Saccharomyces cerevisiae S288C: one gene and its partners. Changing the gene in region 3 together with the main gene of any one other region gives a genetic interaction. Each region holds a gene or a part of one and is shown on either strand. Other genes may lie near its edges.

Region 1 (6,363 bases), on a different chromosome or scaffold from region 3:
CCAATAGAGCTCCGGTCAAGATCACCACAGAAGTGGTACCATCACCGGCTTCCGAGTCCTGCGCGGCAGAAACCTCTACTAGCATTCTGGCCACCGGATGCAGAATGGCCATCTGTTTTAGAATGGTGTGGCCATCATTAGAGATGATGATTTCTCCACGAGATGTCTTAATCATCTTGTCCATACCCTTGGGACCCAATGAAGTACGGATGGCATCTGCAACAGAACGTGCAGCGATGATGTTGGCTTTGCGAACCTCTTGAGGTTTTTCCTTGTTCTTAAACGTGGCGTTAGATGGAACTTTAGCAGACATCGTTCTATACTCTCCTTTACCCGTCTTGCACACTTGCCGCACCTCCAATTACAATTCATAACCTTCATGCCCACTTAGCTATATCAACCTCTTGAACTGTATTCAATTAGCCTTTCTTGGTGGCGAAACGAAAAAAATTTCAGTTTCCCCGTGGCAAGTGATAGTAATACCAAATTATATAGCCTTAATTAGGACATATTGATATACCTCATAAACTACAGTCCCGGTGCCAGGATACAAGTTGGCATAAGCTAATGTCGAAAATGTCTAGAATACTAGTTATCGGGGCAGGTGGCGTTGGGGTCATTACTGCGCTTTCGTTGTGGCTTAAGAAGGAGAGCGACGTTTCCTTGGTAGTCAGATCTGACTACGATAGGGTATTGAAGCATGGCTACACAATCGAATCATGTGACTATGGCCGGTTAGAAGGTTGGAGACCCCACCATATTTACAGCAGCGTCGAGGACGCTGCTTCTGCCGCAGACAACCAAGGATACAACTATATTGTAGTGACTACCAAGAACATCATAGATGGGCCCGTTAATTCAAGGGTGTCCAACATCATCAGACCTGTGCTTGAGAAGAATAAAGAGCTACATGGGCCGCAATTGACGACACACATTTTACTGGTACAGAACGGAATCGATATTGAGAAGGAGATATGGGCGGAATTTCCCAGAGAGCAGTATCGTTACACGGTGCTTTCTGGCATCCAGTTAATCGGATCCACTAAGATCGGGTCAGGCCATATCAGTCAAGTGGGCCAGGACCACTTATCGTGTGGAGCTTTTGATCCACAGGACGCTGCTGCTATCCAGGCTGCCAACGACTTCGTCAGGATGTACAGCAACGAGGGGCAAAACTTTGTCGAATTTGACCCTAGGGTCCGTTACTCTCGGTGGAAGAAGTTGCTCTACAATGCAGCTATCAACACATCCACGGCACTTGTGGGGCTAGACGTTCCGCGTTGCCTGGAGTTTGGGGTTAACAAGAAGAGCACAGAAATTGAAGTGTTCCACCCTGCCATGAGGGAGATCATCGCCATTGCGGCGAGTGAAGGCATCATTATCGAAGAGGAGTTCATAACGATGTTTACAGAGATTACCAGGAAAAAGGTGTTCAAGCCATCCATGTGCGTGGACTGCGAGAAGGGCCAATTGATGGAGCTAGAAGTCATCCTAGGCAACCCCATAAGAATCGCGAAAAGAAACGGCGTCGCTACACCCACTCTTTCTATCTTATACAACCTACTTGTGCTAGTACAGGCCAAACTAAAGGAGCGGAAAGGCCTATTGAAGTTCGACGAAAAAACTGCCACTCTTGTGGACGAGTAGTTCCAACCATTGCTTGCCTCGTTGACGAGCCTTCATCTAGTATATTGTAACACATAATTTAGTATGTACTCTTAACTATTATTCTTATTGTCAGCATTTATACGACGTACAGAGCGACCGAAAATTTCGACAACACGAAACGAAATCGACAATTTGCCAACTTGAATAAATAACAGATCCGTCTTCGAGACTGTGACGATTGAGCCTCGATTCAGTAGCATACAGGGACCACAAACTTGTTTGAAGAGGCATTGCAATTAGGTAAATCATAGAATTGGCGAAACCAGCAGGATTTTCCAAACATTTGTTACTTACCCCCTTCTTTGCTTAAGATATAAAGTTTTTTCTTTTTATTTTATCTTCCCTTTACACTTTTGAATAAAAACATTATCATACCTGTTTACAAATTCGCGGTTTATTTAACCTGAAATCAGTATACTTTTTTTCTTCTGTAGTGTCTTTGTTCATTTCATTACTGGATCAAGATGAAGATGTTAACTAAATTTGAATCAAAGTCCACTAGGGCCAAGGGCATTGCCTTCCACCCCTCCAGACCTTGGGTTTTGGTGGCTTTGTTTTCCTCTACTATTCAATTATGGGATTACAGGATGGGAACACTACTTCACAGATTTGAAGACCACGAGGGCCCTGTTCGTGGGCTAGATTTCCATCCAACCCAACCGATTTTTGTTTCGGCAGGTGACGACTATACCATTAAAGTTTGGTCCTTAGATACTAACAAATGTCTATACACCTTAACTGGGCATTTGGATTATGTCCGTACCGTGTTTTTCCACCGTGAGCTGCCTTGGATCATATCTGCTTCTGATGACCAGACCATAAGAATCTGGAACTGGCAAAACCGTAAGGAAATTGCATGTTTGACCGGCCACAATCATTTTGTCATGTGTGCTCAATTTCATCCAACCGATGACCTGATCGTTTCCGCTTCTCTGGATGAAACCATCAGAATTTGGGATATTTCCGGTTTAAGGAAAAGACACTCCGCTCCTGGTACTAGTTCATTTGAGGAGCAAATGAGTGCACAACAAAATCTATTGGATGGCTCTCTTGGTGACTGTGTTGTCAAGTTTATTCTAGAGGGTCACACAAGAGGTGTCAACTGGGCCTCTTTCCATCCAACTTTACCATTGATTGTCTCCGGCAGTGACGACCGTCAAGTTAAATTATGGAGAATGAGTGCTACGAAAGCTTGGGAAGTTGATACTTGCAGAGGTCACACTAACAATGTTGATAGTGTTATCTTTCACCCACATCAAAACTTGATCATTTCTGTCGGTGAAGACAAAACGCTAAGGGTTTGGGATCTTGACAAGAGAACTCCAGTAAAGCAATTCAAAAGAGAAAACGATAGATTTTGGTTGATTGCAGCACATCCTCATATCAATCTATTTGGTGCAGCTCACGATTCTGGTATTATGGTTTTCAAGCTCGATCGCGAAAGACCATGCAGCTTTATCCATCAAAACCAGTTGTTTTTTGTCAATGCGGAAAAGCAAATCCAAAGTTTCAATTTCCAGAAAAGAGTCGCTTCATTACCTTATGCGTCCTTAAAGGGTATTGGTCAACCTTGGGATGCATTCAGAAGTATATCGTACAATCCCTCCCAACATTCAGTTTTGGTTAATGAAGCTAATGGCAAATTTGCTCTCGTTATTTTACCAAAACAACCAGTTGGAGCTGTGGAGCCAACAAGTGTCACCCAAGATACAGGTAATTTTGCTACTTTTGTTGGTCGTAATAGATTTGTTGTTTACAACAAGAACACTGAATCTGTTGAAGTTCGCTCTCTCGAAAACAAAGTTACAAGAAATATCAAAGTAGAGGAAACAGTAAGAACTATTGTAGCTGCAGGTCCTGGATCTGTTTTGGTCATACACCCCAGAGAAGTTATTCTTTATGATGTCCAACAGGGCAAAAAAGTATCCCAATTGGCTGTTAAAAACGTCAAGTACGTTTCGTGGTCCTTAGATGGTCAATATGTTGCATTGATGAGTAAGCACACCATAACTTTGGCTACCAAAAAGCTAGAATTGATTAATTCTATGCATGAAACGATTAGAATCAAAAGTGCCGCTTGGGATGAAACTGGTGTATTAATTTATTCAACTTTAAATCATATAAGGTACTCACTATTGAACGGGGATAGAGGTATTATTAAAACTTTGGAGAAAACTTTATATATCACAAAAGTTCAGGGAAAATTAGTGTACTGCTTGAACCGTGAAGGTGAGATTGAAATTTTAACCATTGATCCTACAGAATATCGCTTCAAAAAGGCCCTGGTTAACAAAAATTTCCCAGAAGTTTTACGTCTGATAAAAGATTCTAATTTGGTTGGCCAGAATATCATTTCCTATCTGCAGAAGTCAGGTTACCCAGAAATTGCTTTACAATTCGTTCAAGACCCACATATCCGTTTTGATTTAGCTTTGGAATACGGTAATTTGGATGTTGCCTTAGATGAAGCCAAAAAACTGAATGATTCTAGTACTTGGGAAAGATTAATCCAAGAAGCCTTGGCACAAGGTAATGCCAGCTTAGCTGAAATGATTTATCAAACTCAACATTCTTTTGACAAACTTTCCTTCCTGTATTTAGTTACAGGTGACGTTAACAAACTATCTAAAATGCAAAATATCGCTCAGACTCGTGAAGACTTTGGAAGTATGCTATTAAACACCTTTTACAACAATTCAACCAAGGAAAGATCTAGCATTTTTGCAGAGGGCGGCTCTTTACCATTAGCTTATGCCGTAGCAAAGGCTAACGGAGATGAAGCGGCTGCTTCTGCTTTCTTGGAGCAAGCTGAAGTTGATGAACAAGATGTTACTTTACCAGACCAGATGGATGCCTCCAACTTCGTTCAAAGACCAGTGATCTCAAAGCCACTTGAAAAATGGCCATTAAAAGAGGCTGAACTATCTTACTTTGAAAAGGCTGTTTTAGGTCAAATTGACGATTTGACTATAGACGATGAAACTCCAGCAGTAAACACCACTCAAGAGCAAGAAGAACCACTAGGCGAAGAAAACTTTAACGATGAGGATATTGGTGAAGACGAAGGTGCCTGGGATTTGGGTGACGAAGATTTGGATGTGGGAGAAGAGTTACCTGAAGAAGTTGAGCAAGGCGAAATTACCTCTCCAGCACAGGAAGTTGAAACAGCCATTTGGATCAAGAATTCTAAACTGCCTGCTGTCCTAGTTGCCGCTGGTGCCTTTGATGCCGCTGTTCAAGCCTTGAGCAAGCAAGTGGGTGTAGTCAAGCTGGAGCCATTGAAGAAATATTTTACCAACATTTATGAGGGTTGTAGAACATACATTCCTAGTACGCCCTGTGAACTTCCTGCTCAATTAGGTTATGTCAGAGCGTATGATGATACCGTAAGTGAAGATCAAATTCTTCCTTACGTGCCAGGTCTTGATGTCGTTAATGAAAAAATGAATGAGGGTTACAAAAACTTTAAACTAAACAAACCAGATATTGCAATCGAATGCTTCAGAGAAGCTATCTACCGTATTACGCTATTAATGGTCGATGATGCTGAAGATGAAAAATTAGCACACAAGATACTGGAAACTGCTAGGGAGTATATATTAGGTTTATCCATTGAATTGGAACGCCGCTCATTAAAGGAGGGAAATACTGTACGCATGCTTGAGCTAGCTGCATACTTTACAAAGGCAAAACTATCCCCAATTCATCGTACCAATGCTTTACAAGTGGCTATGTCCCAACATTTCAAACACAAAAATTTCTTACAGGCCTCATATTTTGCCGGTGAATTTTTAAAGATTATTTCTTCTGGTCCTCGTGCAGAACAAGCACGTAAAATCAAAAACAAAGCCGACTCAATGGCCAGTGACGCCATTCCAATTGACTTTGATCCTTATGCTAAATTCGATATTTGTGCAGCCACCTACAAACCAATTTATGAAGATACACCTTCCGTTTCTGACCCATTAACAGGTAGTAAATACGTTATCACGGAAAAAGATAAAATAGATAGAATTGCTATGATTTCTAAGATCGGTGCACCTGCATCCGGATTAAGAATACGTGTATAAATGCTATTTTGCCTATTGATTTTCTCGGGATTGTATTCTGCTCGACCTAAATTTCATGTGACAAGTCCTTTTAATCTAAACAATATGATAGTGAAAAAAAAAAACTGACTATGTAATTAACAGTTATATACAACTTCTAAAATAAAAAATATCGCCTATTTTAACAAGTGACACACAACCTGAAATTCTGCCAGCATGTATTCGGAAGCAACCCGAACTTTAGTTTTATAGTTACGATTGTTGCATTTGTATATAAAAAGTACAATGTGTCATTAGATACTGCAGTGAGTAGAAGAAGAAATGGTCGGAAGAACCACATTAATGCAAGAAGAAATAATGCTTTACTTATTTTGGAGTTCCACATTTTCTTGATGGAGGAGGAGGAGGAGGCGGAGGCGGAGCTTTAGCCTTTCTTTTAGTCAAAGATTCTGCAGAAACATCTAATTCACGATTACTATAAAGATGGCCTTTACGAGCCAAGATATTTTGATTGTCGGGCGTCCCCAATGCAACAATGCTAGAGTTTCTACTAGTGTTATTACTAGAGACCGATGAACCTCCATCTGAAGGCGTTGAAGGTGTCTCTAACCAAGGAATTTGTTGAAGACACTTCCGAGATAAGGCC
Region 2 (3,665 bases), on a different chromosome or scaffold from region 3:
AACCGAGAATCTTCTTTCTGGAAAACGCATACGTTATATGGCTATATAAGCAAAAGAGTTCGCATTCATTGGTAAAACGTAAAATACATAATTTAGGATGCTTTCGTTTTGTCCTTCGTGTAACAATATGCTACTGATAACGAGTGGCGATAGTGGTGTATATACATTAGCATGCCGTTCATGTCCATATGAGTTTCCTATAGAGGGTATAGAAATCTATGATAGGAAGAAACTTCCAAGAAAGGAAGTTGATGATGTTCTTGGTGGTGGTTGGGACAATGTGGATCAAACCAAAACCCAATGTCCCAATTATGATACTTGTGGTGGTGAGAGTGCTTACTTTTTCCAACTACAAATTAGGTCAGCTGATGAGCCGATGACTACCTTTTATAAGTGTGTAAACTGTGGTCATAGATGGAAGGAAAATTAAGAAGTCCTTGAATATAAGATGAATTTTCTAAGAATAAAAAGAGTAATAAAAACATCTTAAAATTTGATTAGAAGGCATGATCGCATATTGAGAATGAAGGCTGCTGCCATATTTTTAGAGCAATAGATACTGATATAATTTTTGATCCTGCACGTACTGTGAACTTGCATCATAAATAGGACGCAATAATTAATATTTTTAAGAATAGAGATCCTGTATCAATTGAATTTGAAGAATTATGTAAAGGAGGTATAATAAATAGATAAAAAAATGTATAAATAAGTGGTCGAAATAATTAAATCATCATTGTCATTGAGATCATAAAATCGGTCTGCTAAAGAACCTTGAATTATTTAACCCACTCTCTTGGTTTGGTGGTAACTTCTAGTAATTTAGCTTCTCTGGAACCAGGAGCAGGGTGGTGGTTGTATAACCATGAAGCATGTTCAGGCAAACTCATCAAAATTGACTCAACTCTAGAGCCTGGGGTTCTCAAACCGAATTGGGTACCTCTATCGTAGATTAAGTTGAATTCAACGTATCTACCACGTCTAATGGCCTGCCATTGTTGTTCTTCCTTTGTATATGGCATATCTTTTCTTCTCTTGACGATAGTCAAGTAGGATGGCAAGAAAGCATCGAAACAGTCTTCAACCATCTTCAATATTTCTTGTGGGTCACGTTCATCATAATCGTCAAAGAATATACCACCAATACCACGTGTTTCCTTACGGTGGGTAATGTAGAAGTACTCATCACACCATTTCTTGAAACGTGGGTACAAAGCAGTGTCGTGCTTGTCCAAGGCATCCTTGTGCAGTTGGTGGAATAATTGACCGTCTTCTTCGTATAAGTAAGAAGGTGTCAAATCAGCACCACCACCAAACCACCAAGTTTGTGGGGTCCCATCTTGGTTCCAAGTTTCGAAGTAACGGTAGTTTAAGTGCGTGGTTGGAGCGTGTGGGTTAACGGGATGAATGACCATACTTAAACCACAAGCGAAGAACTTGACACCGTCGGTAACTGGCAAACCAGTCTTTGGATCTTCTGGTAGACGCAGATTCTTATGATCAGCTTTCATGGCTGAAACGGCCGCTGGGCTCAATTGACCATAAACAACGGAGACATTAACACCACCTTTTTCGAAAGTTGTACCGTCTTGGATAACCATAGAGGTACCACCACCACCATCGTTACCACGGGTCCAAGTATCAGCGTGGAACTTAACAGTATCGATGGATTCCAAACCTTGCGTGATTTCAGCTTGTTTGCGACGGATAAGAGCTTCCATTTGTTGTCTAATTGGAAGATTCCTTGGATCTTGAGGGGCAGGCATCTTTATGTGTATTTAATTGTGTTCGAAGAGTTCGGTTTGCTATGTTTGATTTGCGAAAAGAAAGCTTTTGATATGCTCAAAAAAAGAAAACCCGGAGAATAAAAGCTTAACAAAGAAAGACAATAGGTGGAAAAAAAAAGGAAAATCCGTGTCCTTATATAGCCTTTCGAAACGAGAACAATGGGCAAAGCAAGCTTTATCTTCGGATCGTCCGTCAGCGCTTTGGTTGCAGTCTTATGCTTTGTTCAAGCTGGAGCGTTATTGGTGGGAGAACCAGAAAAGGCGAAAGCGTAGCGTTCTTTGAAATTTGGCTTCTGTTCCTGCGACTCGTTTAAAAGTAGAAGGGCCCGCGGAGCCGCTGTGAAAGATTTCTTTTACTCTTTCAGCGCAGAAATCTCGCAGGAGCTCAGCAGAAAGTGCCTATGACGGTAATCCCAGGGGCTAATGGTGTGAAGGCACTTTCTAAACAATTGAAATTAAAATACCGTGCCTATAGTAACTTTTTTTTACGCTGTGAACCGTTCAACACACAGTAAAAACTCCGCAGGAAATGGTTTGAAGAATCTTAATCACGAATTAGGCGTATTGTTTTTCCCAACAGTGAACGAGAGGACAAACTCCAGAGGATTTGCGGGCTTGATGATAAAATGTATTGTTGAAAAGATCGCGAATGCAACAATTACGGTGGGGAGAAATATCAACAAAAGGGCAAGGCTATGCCTTCTGGAAAGTGGCAGACTTGCACTTTCCTCGAAAAGAAAAATGACCGCAAGATCCGGTTGTTCTCAACCTTCTACATTAAGACATACTTCTACGATTTTCGAATGCCGAAGCAACTATCGCTGAAATTTGTCATGTCAAAATTGCTACTGGGGGAGAAGAATATATATGGAAGTAATTATTATTTACGTTGCTGAAATGGCAGGTTAGACGCATGTTTTGCAAAATAAGTGGTTTTGAAAAGAATTGATACTAGGAATCGGTGCAATACCTTCTACCTTTCTTAATAGGTATTCTTGAATAATCTACCTCACTTTCTGTCCCAGATACGAGATGTCGAGCGCCTCGAAAATAGATATCGTTTATTACGTTAGATACGGAAAGGTCTACGTGTCATAATAAATTGCATCTGGATTGCGATTTTGGGTCATGCCTAACTGGGAAAATATTTACATCTCCATGTTCTCATTCTGCCTTTGCTTTCCTTCAAAACATGGTTTTCAATTCAACCTAGGGTCTACCGCGGAACCATATGTACGCCGTAAATGCGAGTGTTCTTGAAAGGTAGTAATGTGTTCCCTCTCAATATGTAAGTCCTTCAAGAGTATGCACTTGCAGTTGCACTGTTTCGGGTAATTATCCGTCATTAAGAAAAAGATGCTTCCACTTTCTCGTGTTTTTACGCACAATCGTGCCATTTAACCGGAAATAGACTCCATTGCATTGATTGCTCTCATAAAAATTATAGCCCGCGTTTGATACTTGTTTAAAATAGGTGTCGACAAAGTTAGTTTCTGTCTTCCATTTAGTTTTTACAATATGACACGTCAAATAAATCTTTTCGATTTAGTTAAAAGAGTTACCTGGCGATAGCCTTCTGGTAAAACACCTATTCATAAAACAATCTTAAAAAACCAAAAAATTACCAAACAACTATGTAGGACATATTTTTACAGTTCATAAAAACGCTTCGAGCTGCCGATATCGGTATCAAACACCAAAATATACATAGTGCTGGTTTAAGCCAGAATATCTTGGTGAAGCTGCGCCTATATGCCTTGTATTTAAAACAAGTCACGAAAAGCTATTGCCAAAGGAACATAAAAACTCGTATCTATGTTATATTATAAAAAAGATATAATATTTATATATTATTATTAATATTATTTTTTAGTTCCG
Region 3 (4,296 bases):
GGCTCTTATTTGCTATGTGGACGTTAATGCTTTCCTCTATTTCATCCGGTTTATCAGTGGCGCCATACAACTATCATTTGGTCATTATTGGTGTGTGTTATCTACCCGGTGGTATTGGCGGTTTAATGGGTTCCTTCTTCACAGGTAGAATTATTGACATGTATTTCAAGAGAAAGATCAAGAAATTCGAGCAAGACAAAGCTAACGGGTTGATTCCACAAGACGCAGAGATTAATATGTTCAAAGTCCGTTTAGTTTGTCTTCTGCCCCAAAATTTCTTGGCCGTCGTAGCCTATCTTTTATTTGGTTGGAGTATAGATAAGGGCTGGAGGATCGAATCTATTTTAATTACTTCATTTGTCTGTTCATACTGTGCTATGAGTACATTATCAACATCAACTACGTTATTGGTCGATTTGTACCCAACGAAATCATCTACAGCAAGTAGTTGTTTCAACTTTGTTAGGTGCAGTTTGAGTACCATCTTCATGGGTTGCTTTGCCAAAATGAAAGCTGCGATGACTGTAGGTGGTACTTTTACATTTTTATGTGCGCTGGTATTTTTCTTCAACTTCTTAATGTTTATTCCGATGAAATATGGTATGAAGTGGAGGGAGGATAGATTATTGAAACAACAAAGACAGTCTTGGTTAAACACCTTGGCAGTCAAAGCCAAAAAGGGAACAAAAAGAGACCAGAACGATAATCATAATTAATTGGCATTCTTCAATTTGATAGACACTTATCCCTGCATATTTTTTTTATAAACAGCTTATAGACTTTCATGTAAATTTTTCCTAATTAATGTATTATTTACTTCGTTAATTTTCCGTTGAATTATTGACATGTTAAAGGTGCACTAAATATACCTAATACAAAAAATGGTTTTCTGTGGCAAATATATACAGTGGAAATTTCAGCATATAATCCCTGCTTTACTCTTTCCTTAAGATTTCGTCATAATTAGAACTTTTTTTGGTAAACTGCATTTTCTACCATTATTACTTTACATATGTATAGCTACAAAACTGTATTTTGAAGTGAAAAGTATGATGAATAAATGAATCGTGAATAAGTTGATCTTTTTTTATCAAGAAAATCATTGAGATGCACATTGAACACCTTCGCCACCTTGTTCTTCTTCATCGGAATCATAGTTTGCACCACCCCTGGAGGCCCGTGTTCTGTTGTATTTGGCTGGGTCAAAGTCTGCGAGTACACATTCGTCCACAGTAGCTTTCTTTGGAATGGCTGGGACAATTCTTGGAGGCAAAATTTCTTCTAACTTCTTCAAGTTTTCTTCTGATGTGAAATGGTTTTCTGGGAACTTGATAGTAAATTTGATGATTAAATTACCATAGCCACCGTATTTTGGAATTGGCATACCTTTACCTTCGATGACCTTACGCATACCTGGGGCAATAACTTCACCTGGAACAATACCGACCTTTAACCAATCACCAGAAACATGTTCCAATGCAAATTCACCACCAGCGATAGCAGTCAATAGATCAATTTCAGCCTCATATACTAAATCATCACCATCTCTCTTGAAGCTCTTGTGTGGTCTCTCAGAAACTATGAAGACAACATCACCTGGAATGACATCTGGGGCTTGGTCAGCTTCACCTTTGAAAACGATTCTTTGACCATCTTTCATACCTGGTTCGACATGGACTTCTAGGATCTTCCTTTCGTTTTCAACTTTCTTACCGTTACAAGATTTACAACGATCCTTAGGATCAATGATATCACCAGTACCGTGACAGACATCACACTCTGTTTGGAATCTTTGGATCATTGGACCCATTTGTCTTGTTACAAATTTAATACCTTGACCATTACAGCTGGTACACTTCTTGACGGCGCCTTTCTTACCACCACGACCTTCACATTCTTTACATAGGATCTGTTTGTTAAGGGCTAACTTAGCTGTCCTACCCTTATATAATTCTTCAAGTGAGGCAGAAATTTCATGCTTGATATCTTTACCTCTTTGGGGACCTCTTGGTCTTTGTGCGCCACCAGCACCAAAGAATTGGGAAAAGATATCGTCACCAAAACCGAATCCACCACCTGGGAATCCGCCAGCGCCACCAGCACCACTTAGACCATCTTCACCAAATTGGTCATATATATCTCTCTTTTCAGGATCTGATAAAATTTCATAGGCTGCTGAAGCTTCTTTGAACTTTTCTGCAGCTTCCTCACTTGGATTCTTATCTGGATGGTATTTTAAGGCGCATTTTCTATAAGCTTTCTTAATTTCGACATCAGTGGCAGTTACTGGAACACCTAGAATATCGTAAAACTTAGTTTCTTTAACCATCTTTGGACGTTTATTATTGTTGTTGGAAGATGTAGAATTCAGTTTGGATAATTTTTAATTATGTTCTATCAAAAGATATGGTAACAAATAACAAAAAAATAAATACGTAACAGTTATCAAATAAGACGCTTGTTCGGGCCTAATATATATGGGGAAAAGGACTTTTTGTGACTTTGATTTATAAAAACGAACTACACACCTTATCAAACAAGAACTACCTAACCAACATATAAACGTAGAGCAAGTTTTTACACGTTTTATAAGTACGTGGATTGATCTGCAAGTTAAATACTTTCCATACCTGCCGATGCTCTATTGCCTTTTCATTTCTTGAAAAAGAAATGAAAAAATTTTCTATTTTTTCGATGGCCTTCTATAATTTTGTACGAAATATTATAGGTCAGGTGTATATCACGTGCTCAAACCAGCGACTTCACATCTTATTTTATACCAACATACTCATTATAACAATGTATTCCATAGTTGAATACACACAACTCAAACGTGTATAAACGACTTTATTTTGCCGACTCTCTACGGTCAATGTCTTGTTACGTTTTCAAGTGCTTTTAGAAACTCTGCACTCTCTTCCCCTTAACTCGTAGACAAGGAGCGATAGTTGAATGGTAGGAACGAAAAAGAAACGGTTAGAAAGAACATATGCCTCGAATATCTACATCATTGATAAGAAAAGCTTCGAGAATACGACCTGGTTTGCATCTTTTGCTTCCAGAATGTAGGACTCTCGAGCAAGCGAAACTCGAGTACAAATGGCTCACCGAAGAGCTGCCTCCGGATAAATCAATCCGCTGGGCTTGCTTACAGAGATACAAACACGTCCCATTGCAGTACATCTTAAGATCGCAACCGTTTGGGGCCTTGGACATAGTTTGCAAGCCTGGTGTTCTTATACCAAGATGGGAAACCGAGGAATGGGTGATGGCCATAATAAGAGCTCTAAACAACTCTATGCTTTCAAGGCATACTATACCACTGCATATTTGTGATACGTTTACAGGAACAGGGTGTATTGCTCTCGCTTTGAGTCATGGTATAGCAAATTGCACGTTCACTGCCATTGACGTGTCAACAAGAGCAATTAAGTTGGTTAAAGAAAATATGCTGAAAAACAAGGTGAGTGGTGGTAAGCTCGTGCAACATAATATATTGTCCTCAAAAGCTAGCGATGAATATCCATCCCATATAGATATATTAACCGGTAACCCCCCCTACATTCGAAAGCGTGACTTCAATAGAGATGTTAAAACTTCCGTAAAGCTGTTCGAACCAAGGCTAGCGCTAGTGGGTGAGCTTGAATGCTATATAAATCTAGTAAATTATTGGCTGCCGAAGACAGACTCCTTCTTTTATGAGATTGGAGACGTTGAACAGTTTAATTACGTGGAGAGGCGCATTAAAGAAGATTCATATCTCAGCCGTATTTGGTCTATTGGTTTGAAATATGACTCGAATGGGAAAGCAAGAGTCGTATATGGGTTTAAGGCCACTCCCAAAGGGCGAATACTACACCAGATTTTTGCATCCTTTGGGACTATAAGACATTTAGCAACCGCACTCAGTGGGCACAAAGCTAATTGCAACTAAGTATATAAATGTAAATATATATATTCTCAGGTTTTTTTGTTGGAAGTTATCAAACGGAACACTCTGTGGACATTTATATTTTTTGTTTCTTAGCTCCATGTTCAGCAAGCTTTTCACTGGAGTCAGCTGCAGTCGCGTTTTCCGATACAGGTTCAGGAGCAGGGATGACTCTGTGACACCACATTAGATATCCACCACCACCTTTCATGGTCATCAGAGGGTGTAGCTTACCCCTTATACTTTGGTACGGCCTACATCTAGTTTCCAAAATTGATGGTGCTAAAAACCTGAGGTCTGAATATAAAGTATGAGCTAATTCCAACAAAGTTTCTTTGAATTGACCATAGCATACAATCGGCCTT
Region 4 (4,518 bases), on a different chromosome or scaffold from region 3:
ATAACCACAATATCAGCAAGTACAGGATAAGATTAACCTACAAAAAGGAATCTAAACAAGTTCCGGTTATTTCAGAATCGTTTTTTCAAGAAGAGGCTGATGACTCAATGGAATTCTTCATCAAAGATTTGGGTCCCCAAATTTCATGGAGATTAGTCTTCTTTTGTGAGTATTTGGGTCCAGTCTTGGTTCACTCCCTTTTTTATTATCTATCTACCATTCCCACAGTTGTTGATAGATGGCACAGTGCTAGCTCCGACTATAATCCATTTTTAAACAGGGTTGCATATTTTTTAATTTTAGGACATTATGGAAAGAGATTATTTGAAACCTTATTTGTTCACCAATTCTCTTTAGCTACTATGCCAATTTTCAACCTGTTCAAAAATTGTTTCCATTACTGGGTTCTAAGCGGTCTCATTTCATTCGGTTACTTTGGCTACGGCTTCCCCTTTGGGAATGCTAAGTTATTCAAATACTATTCATATTTGAAATTGGATGACTTGAGTACATTAATTGGTCTTTTCGTGCTTTCAGAACTATGGAACTTTTATTGCCACATTAAATTGCGCCTATGGGGTGACTATCAAAAGAAGCATGGTAACGCTAAGATCCGTGTCCCATTGAATCAAGGTATTTTCAATCTTTTTGTTGCTCCCAACTATACTTTTGAAGTTTGGTCTTGGATTTGGTTTACTTTTGTGTTCAAGTTCAATTTATTTGCCGTTTTATTTTTGACTGTTTCAACAGCTCAAATGTACGCATGGGCTCAAAAGAAAAACAAAAAGTATCATACCAGAAGAGCATTCTTGATTCCATTTGTATTTTGATCCTCCTGTTTGCAACATGCCCAAATGCAAGGTAAAGAGATATTAGCTTTCACGAAGTGGCGTAGTAGCACTATTGTTTAAGTATCGTCTGCACCTGTGCCTTTTGGTATTTGGCACTATCTTAAGCGCATGCCACCAATTATGCTAAACCGTTTCACTTTAAGAAATTTTTATTTAAATCTTTCACTATGCAAATATGTAAGTACTTTTAAAATTCTCTTTCCAAAGAAAAGGAAATTATTTCAGACTAGCAGTAATTTATCACTTTGCTATTCAGATATTAGGAGAACATCCTTATCGAGCAAATCTGCCTCGCTTGAGCTGACAACGTCATCTTCGTCAGTACTCTCGCCATCCAGTAAATATGTGTTTTCATTCAATTCATTGAAAAACGGGGTTTTCAGTAAATCTTCTGCTGAACTACGCTTTTGAGGATCCATTTCGAAGCATTGTTCCAAAACCTGGAAGCACCAATAATGATCGGACCAAATTTCTTCTTGATACTTTTTCAACTCATAGGCATCAACAGCATCCATATTTGTCTTGGGGTCAGGTAATTGAGGTTCAATGGACATCCTGTCATGTAATTCTTGTTGTAGAAATCCGAATGTTTCAAAAGCAACACTGTACTCAGGGAACGTACCTATGGTACATTCTTTATTAAGCAAATCATAAACAAATTCCTTCAATCCATTAGAATATCCGTTTGGTTTATCCCAAATGAGCCCACTAGCTTCGAAACCCAATCCATGCAACGCTGCGCATTTTCTTAATTCTTTCCAACCAAAAATAGTACATAACTCTAGCAAAGAATCCGCATCATCTAAACTTTGGAACATTGGAAATCTTCTGCCCAAAAGACTTAAAAGAATAACACCTACGGACCATATATCAATCTTTGTGCTTTGAGCCCCACACTTCATTAACACTTCTGGTGCCCGAAATCCACGAGTCCCTGCTCTATTAGCCCTTTTAATTCTACGCGTTTCATTTTTAGGATAACCCTTTGTCAGATCCACCCCATTTACATTGTTTAAGTGGACGACCTTGCCATTTTGTATGGTGACCATAGGAGGTGTTTGGTTATGTGAGTTAGGAGAATATTGATTACGCATAATGCATGGACAAAATTGTTCGTGATTCCTCATTGAATATCCACCATCATGGTTTGTATTTGCATAATTGTCGTAATCGTTTTGACTAGATATCATGCTTTTATAATCCATTTGAGCCTCGGCTAGACCAAAATCAACAAGCACTCCACGCCCCAATTCCAAATTAAATAAAAAATTTGTCGGTTTGATGTCTCTATGAATAATTCCCTTCGAATGAACAAACTTCAATGCTCTTAGTAGCTCCCAAATGTACTTCTTGATTCCCTTGATTGGTAGATCCCTGTAGAAAGTTCGGAACTCCTCGTGGGGATAGTACGGTAAAACAGCAATGACTTGATCTCGCACCCTTTTTGCATCACATAGAGGGGCTACTCTCGAAGATCCCGTCATTATGTACAGCAGGTTGAGCTCATTATAAATTCTTTGCGGTGACGAGGTAACGTATATTTTCTTCAAAGCAACATAGTTCGAACCATAATTCCAAAAATGTGATGCAAATTTTTTTGTTATTTTCCCAGTGATATCTTTGGCTTTATACACTGACGAAAATGTTCCCTCACCGATCTTGTCTATGAGTTTATATTCATTTTCTATACCCGGTAGATCATGATAGAGCTGTATCATCTCTTCTTTGATTTCTGGAGGTATATCATCGATATTCTTCGTTTTGCTTGTCATTATGATTGTTCTACTTCGAAACTGCCTCTTTCCTAAGAAAATTAGATAATAGCACAATTGTTATTGAAAATTTAAGGTAGTCTGTTACTTCCCGTTACGCCTGCTGAGCGGTTTTTTTTGTTAATGGTTCTTGCATTGATTTTAGGCGGAAATGTGAAGTGCTCTTCTACTCACTAAATTGATGCCGTTCAAGAAGACGCCCCAGGGCAAAGAAGACATAATTTAAAAGCTGACCGGGGACAAATGTTTAAGATTTATGTAGGCCTAAGGCGTTTATCGAGCTAAACGGGAAGTAATTTTACTCTATAAAATGTCATCTACACAAGCATTGCCCCATTAGATTCTTAATTATCTTCAAAACCAGGGCTACACCTTAATTTCCCAAGCTAAAAACATGCTTATATAGAGGTTTAAAAAAAAAGCGTCGTTCGTTGATAAAGTTTACGAACGTATCAGTATGATCGCGTAGGTTTCCACATACTACTTAGACTTCCTACACTGTCATGGTCATTATGTCAACAAAGGTGAGACCAACGCGTCCTGACCTGAATTTTTCTCTCTTTAAAACAGAACGCGTTCTTCATAATCCTCTCCTCAATGAAAGAATTTGGGGGGACAATATCTTGACAGAAACTGGTAAGGCTCTTGATAGTTACCGTACTTGAAGGGACACTGTGAACTGACTAAAAAACTCCGTCATGTCCAATTTATGTGTACTTTTCTTCCAGTTTTTTTTTTTAGCACAATTTTTTGCTGAGGCATCACCGTTGACATTTGAACTGAATAAAGGTCGAAAGGAGTGCTTATATACGCTAACTCCGGAAATTGACTGTACAATCTCATATTATTTTGCAGTACAGCAAGGAGAGAGCAATGACTTTGATGTTAACTACGAAATATTTGCTCCTGATGACAAAAACAAGCCAATAATCGAGAGATCTGGTGAACGTCAAGGTGAATGGTCATTTATAGGCCAACATAAGGGAGAATATGCTATCTGCTTTTATGGTGGTAAAGCACACGACAAGATTGTTGATCTGGACTTCAAGTACAATTGTGAACGCCAAGATGATATTCGAAATGAAAGACGCAAGGCGAGAAAGGCGCAGAGAAACCTGAGAGACTCTAAAACCGATCCCTTGCAAGACAGTGTGGAAAATTCTATAGACACCATAGAAAGGCAGCTCCACGTTTTGGAACGTAATATACAGTACTATAAAAGCAGAAACACCAGAAATCATCACACCGTTTGTTCAACAGAGCATAGAATTGTAATGTTTTCTATTTACGGCATATTATTAATCATCGGAATGAGCTGCGCTCAAATTGCCATACTGGAGTTCATTTTCAGAGAATCGAGAAAGCATAATGTGTAAATAGTTGTGTATTGTTCCTGCATTTTCTATCAACTTGAGAATATATGTTCTTCATATTTAATAGGGGAAAGGAATGACATACCGTATCCAAAATAGCCCTTTTGCTCATGTTAAATCTTATGTAATGACAGAGCTGAAGTGACGTTTCTATTAAAGCACATGTCACGATTTAAAAAATCCTATTTCAAAATGTAGCATTGTTTTCTTCGAGAAATTGACAAAATAATCTTTGTAAGAGTAATTTTTTCTTAGCCATTGGCATATGCACCATGCAATTTCCACCTATTTAATTACACTTGCAGTCAATCAACTCGCTTGGGGATGGTATTCCTCTTGGAGTGTTAAACTATATTTTTAGTGAAAGAAGTGATAAGCAAGTGTGCCAGAAAATACAAGGATATAACACAACTTTGAAAAAGAAAAATTGCCGATTCATCTATTAATGTATCTTGTAAAATTGTTTACAAAGAGTCAATCCGCATTACAGGCAAGATTGAACATGCTATCCCAAAGCCTTAA

The links.
Region 1: mutations in YDJ1 (region 3) and COP1 together harm fitness more than expected from each alone (negative genetic interaction), as found in Saccharomyces cerevisiae (3 studies listed by BioGRID).
Region 2: mutations in YDJ1 (region 3) and HEM13 together harm fitness more than expected from each alone (negative genetic interaction), as found in Saccharomyces cerevisiae (2 studies listed by BioGRID).
Region 4: mutations in YDJ1 (region 3) and CDC7 together harm fitness more than expected from each alone (negative genetic interaction), as found in Saccharomyces cerevisiae (3 studies listed by BioGRID).

Annotation. Positions count from the first base shown.
Region 1 is NC_001136.10:193,946-200,308, reverse strand, and holds COP1 (coatomer subunit alpha), read left to right. Parts: upstream 1-2,132; coding exon 2,133-5,738; downstream 5,739-6,363. Other genes in the region: chaperonin-containing T-complex subunit CCT4, read right to left, coding at 1-313; YDL144C (uncharacterized protein), read left to right, coding at 577-1,647; LDB17 (Ldb17p), read right to left, coding at 6,084-6,363. UniProt on the Saccharomyces cerevisiae protein: The coatomer is a cytosolic protein complex that binds to dilysine motifs and reversibly associates with Golgi non-clathrin-coated vesicles, which further mediate biosynthetic protein transport from the ER, via the Golgi up to the trans Golgi network.
Region 2 is NC_001136.10:544,743-548,407, reverse strand, and holds HEM13 (coproporphyrinogen oxidase), read right to left. Parts: upstream 1,767-3,665; coding exon 780-1,766; downstream 1-779. Other genes in the region: DNA-directed RNA polymerase III core subunit RPC11, read left to right, coding at 98-430.
Region 3 is NC_001146.8:504,769-509,064, forward strand, and holds YDJ1 (type I HSP40 co-chaperone YDJ1), read right to left. Parts: upstream 2,330-4,296; coding exon 1,100-2,329; downstream 1-1,099. Other genes in the region: AQR1 (Aqr1p), read left to right, coding at 1-716; MTQ1 (S-adenosylmethionine-dependent methyltransferase), read left to right, coding at 2,990-3,934; tRNA 1-methyladenosine methyltransferase subunit GCD10, read right to left, coding at 4,008-4,296. UniProt on the Saccharomyces cerevisiae protein: Probably involved in mitochondrial protein import. Is also required for efficient translocation of pre-pro-alpha-factor. Involved in heme regulation of HAP1, as a component of the high-molecular-weight (HMC) complex.
Region 4 is NC_001136.10:422,314-426,831, reverse strand, and holds CDC7 (serine/threonine protein kinase CDC7), read right to left. Parts: upstream 2,624-4,518; coding exon 1,100-2,623; downstream 1-1,099. Other genes in the region: trans-2-enoyl-CoA reductase (NADPH) TSC13, read left to right, coding at 1-830; ERP3 (Erp3p), read left to right, coding at 3,322-3,999. UniProt on the Saccharomyces cerevisiae protein: Serine/threonine-protein kinase. Needed for the initiation of DNA synthesis during mitosis as well as for synaptonemal complex formation and commitment to recombination during meiosis. Required for HTA1-HTB1 locus transcription repression.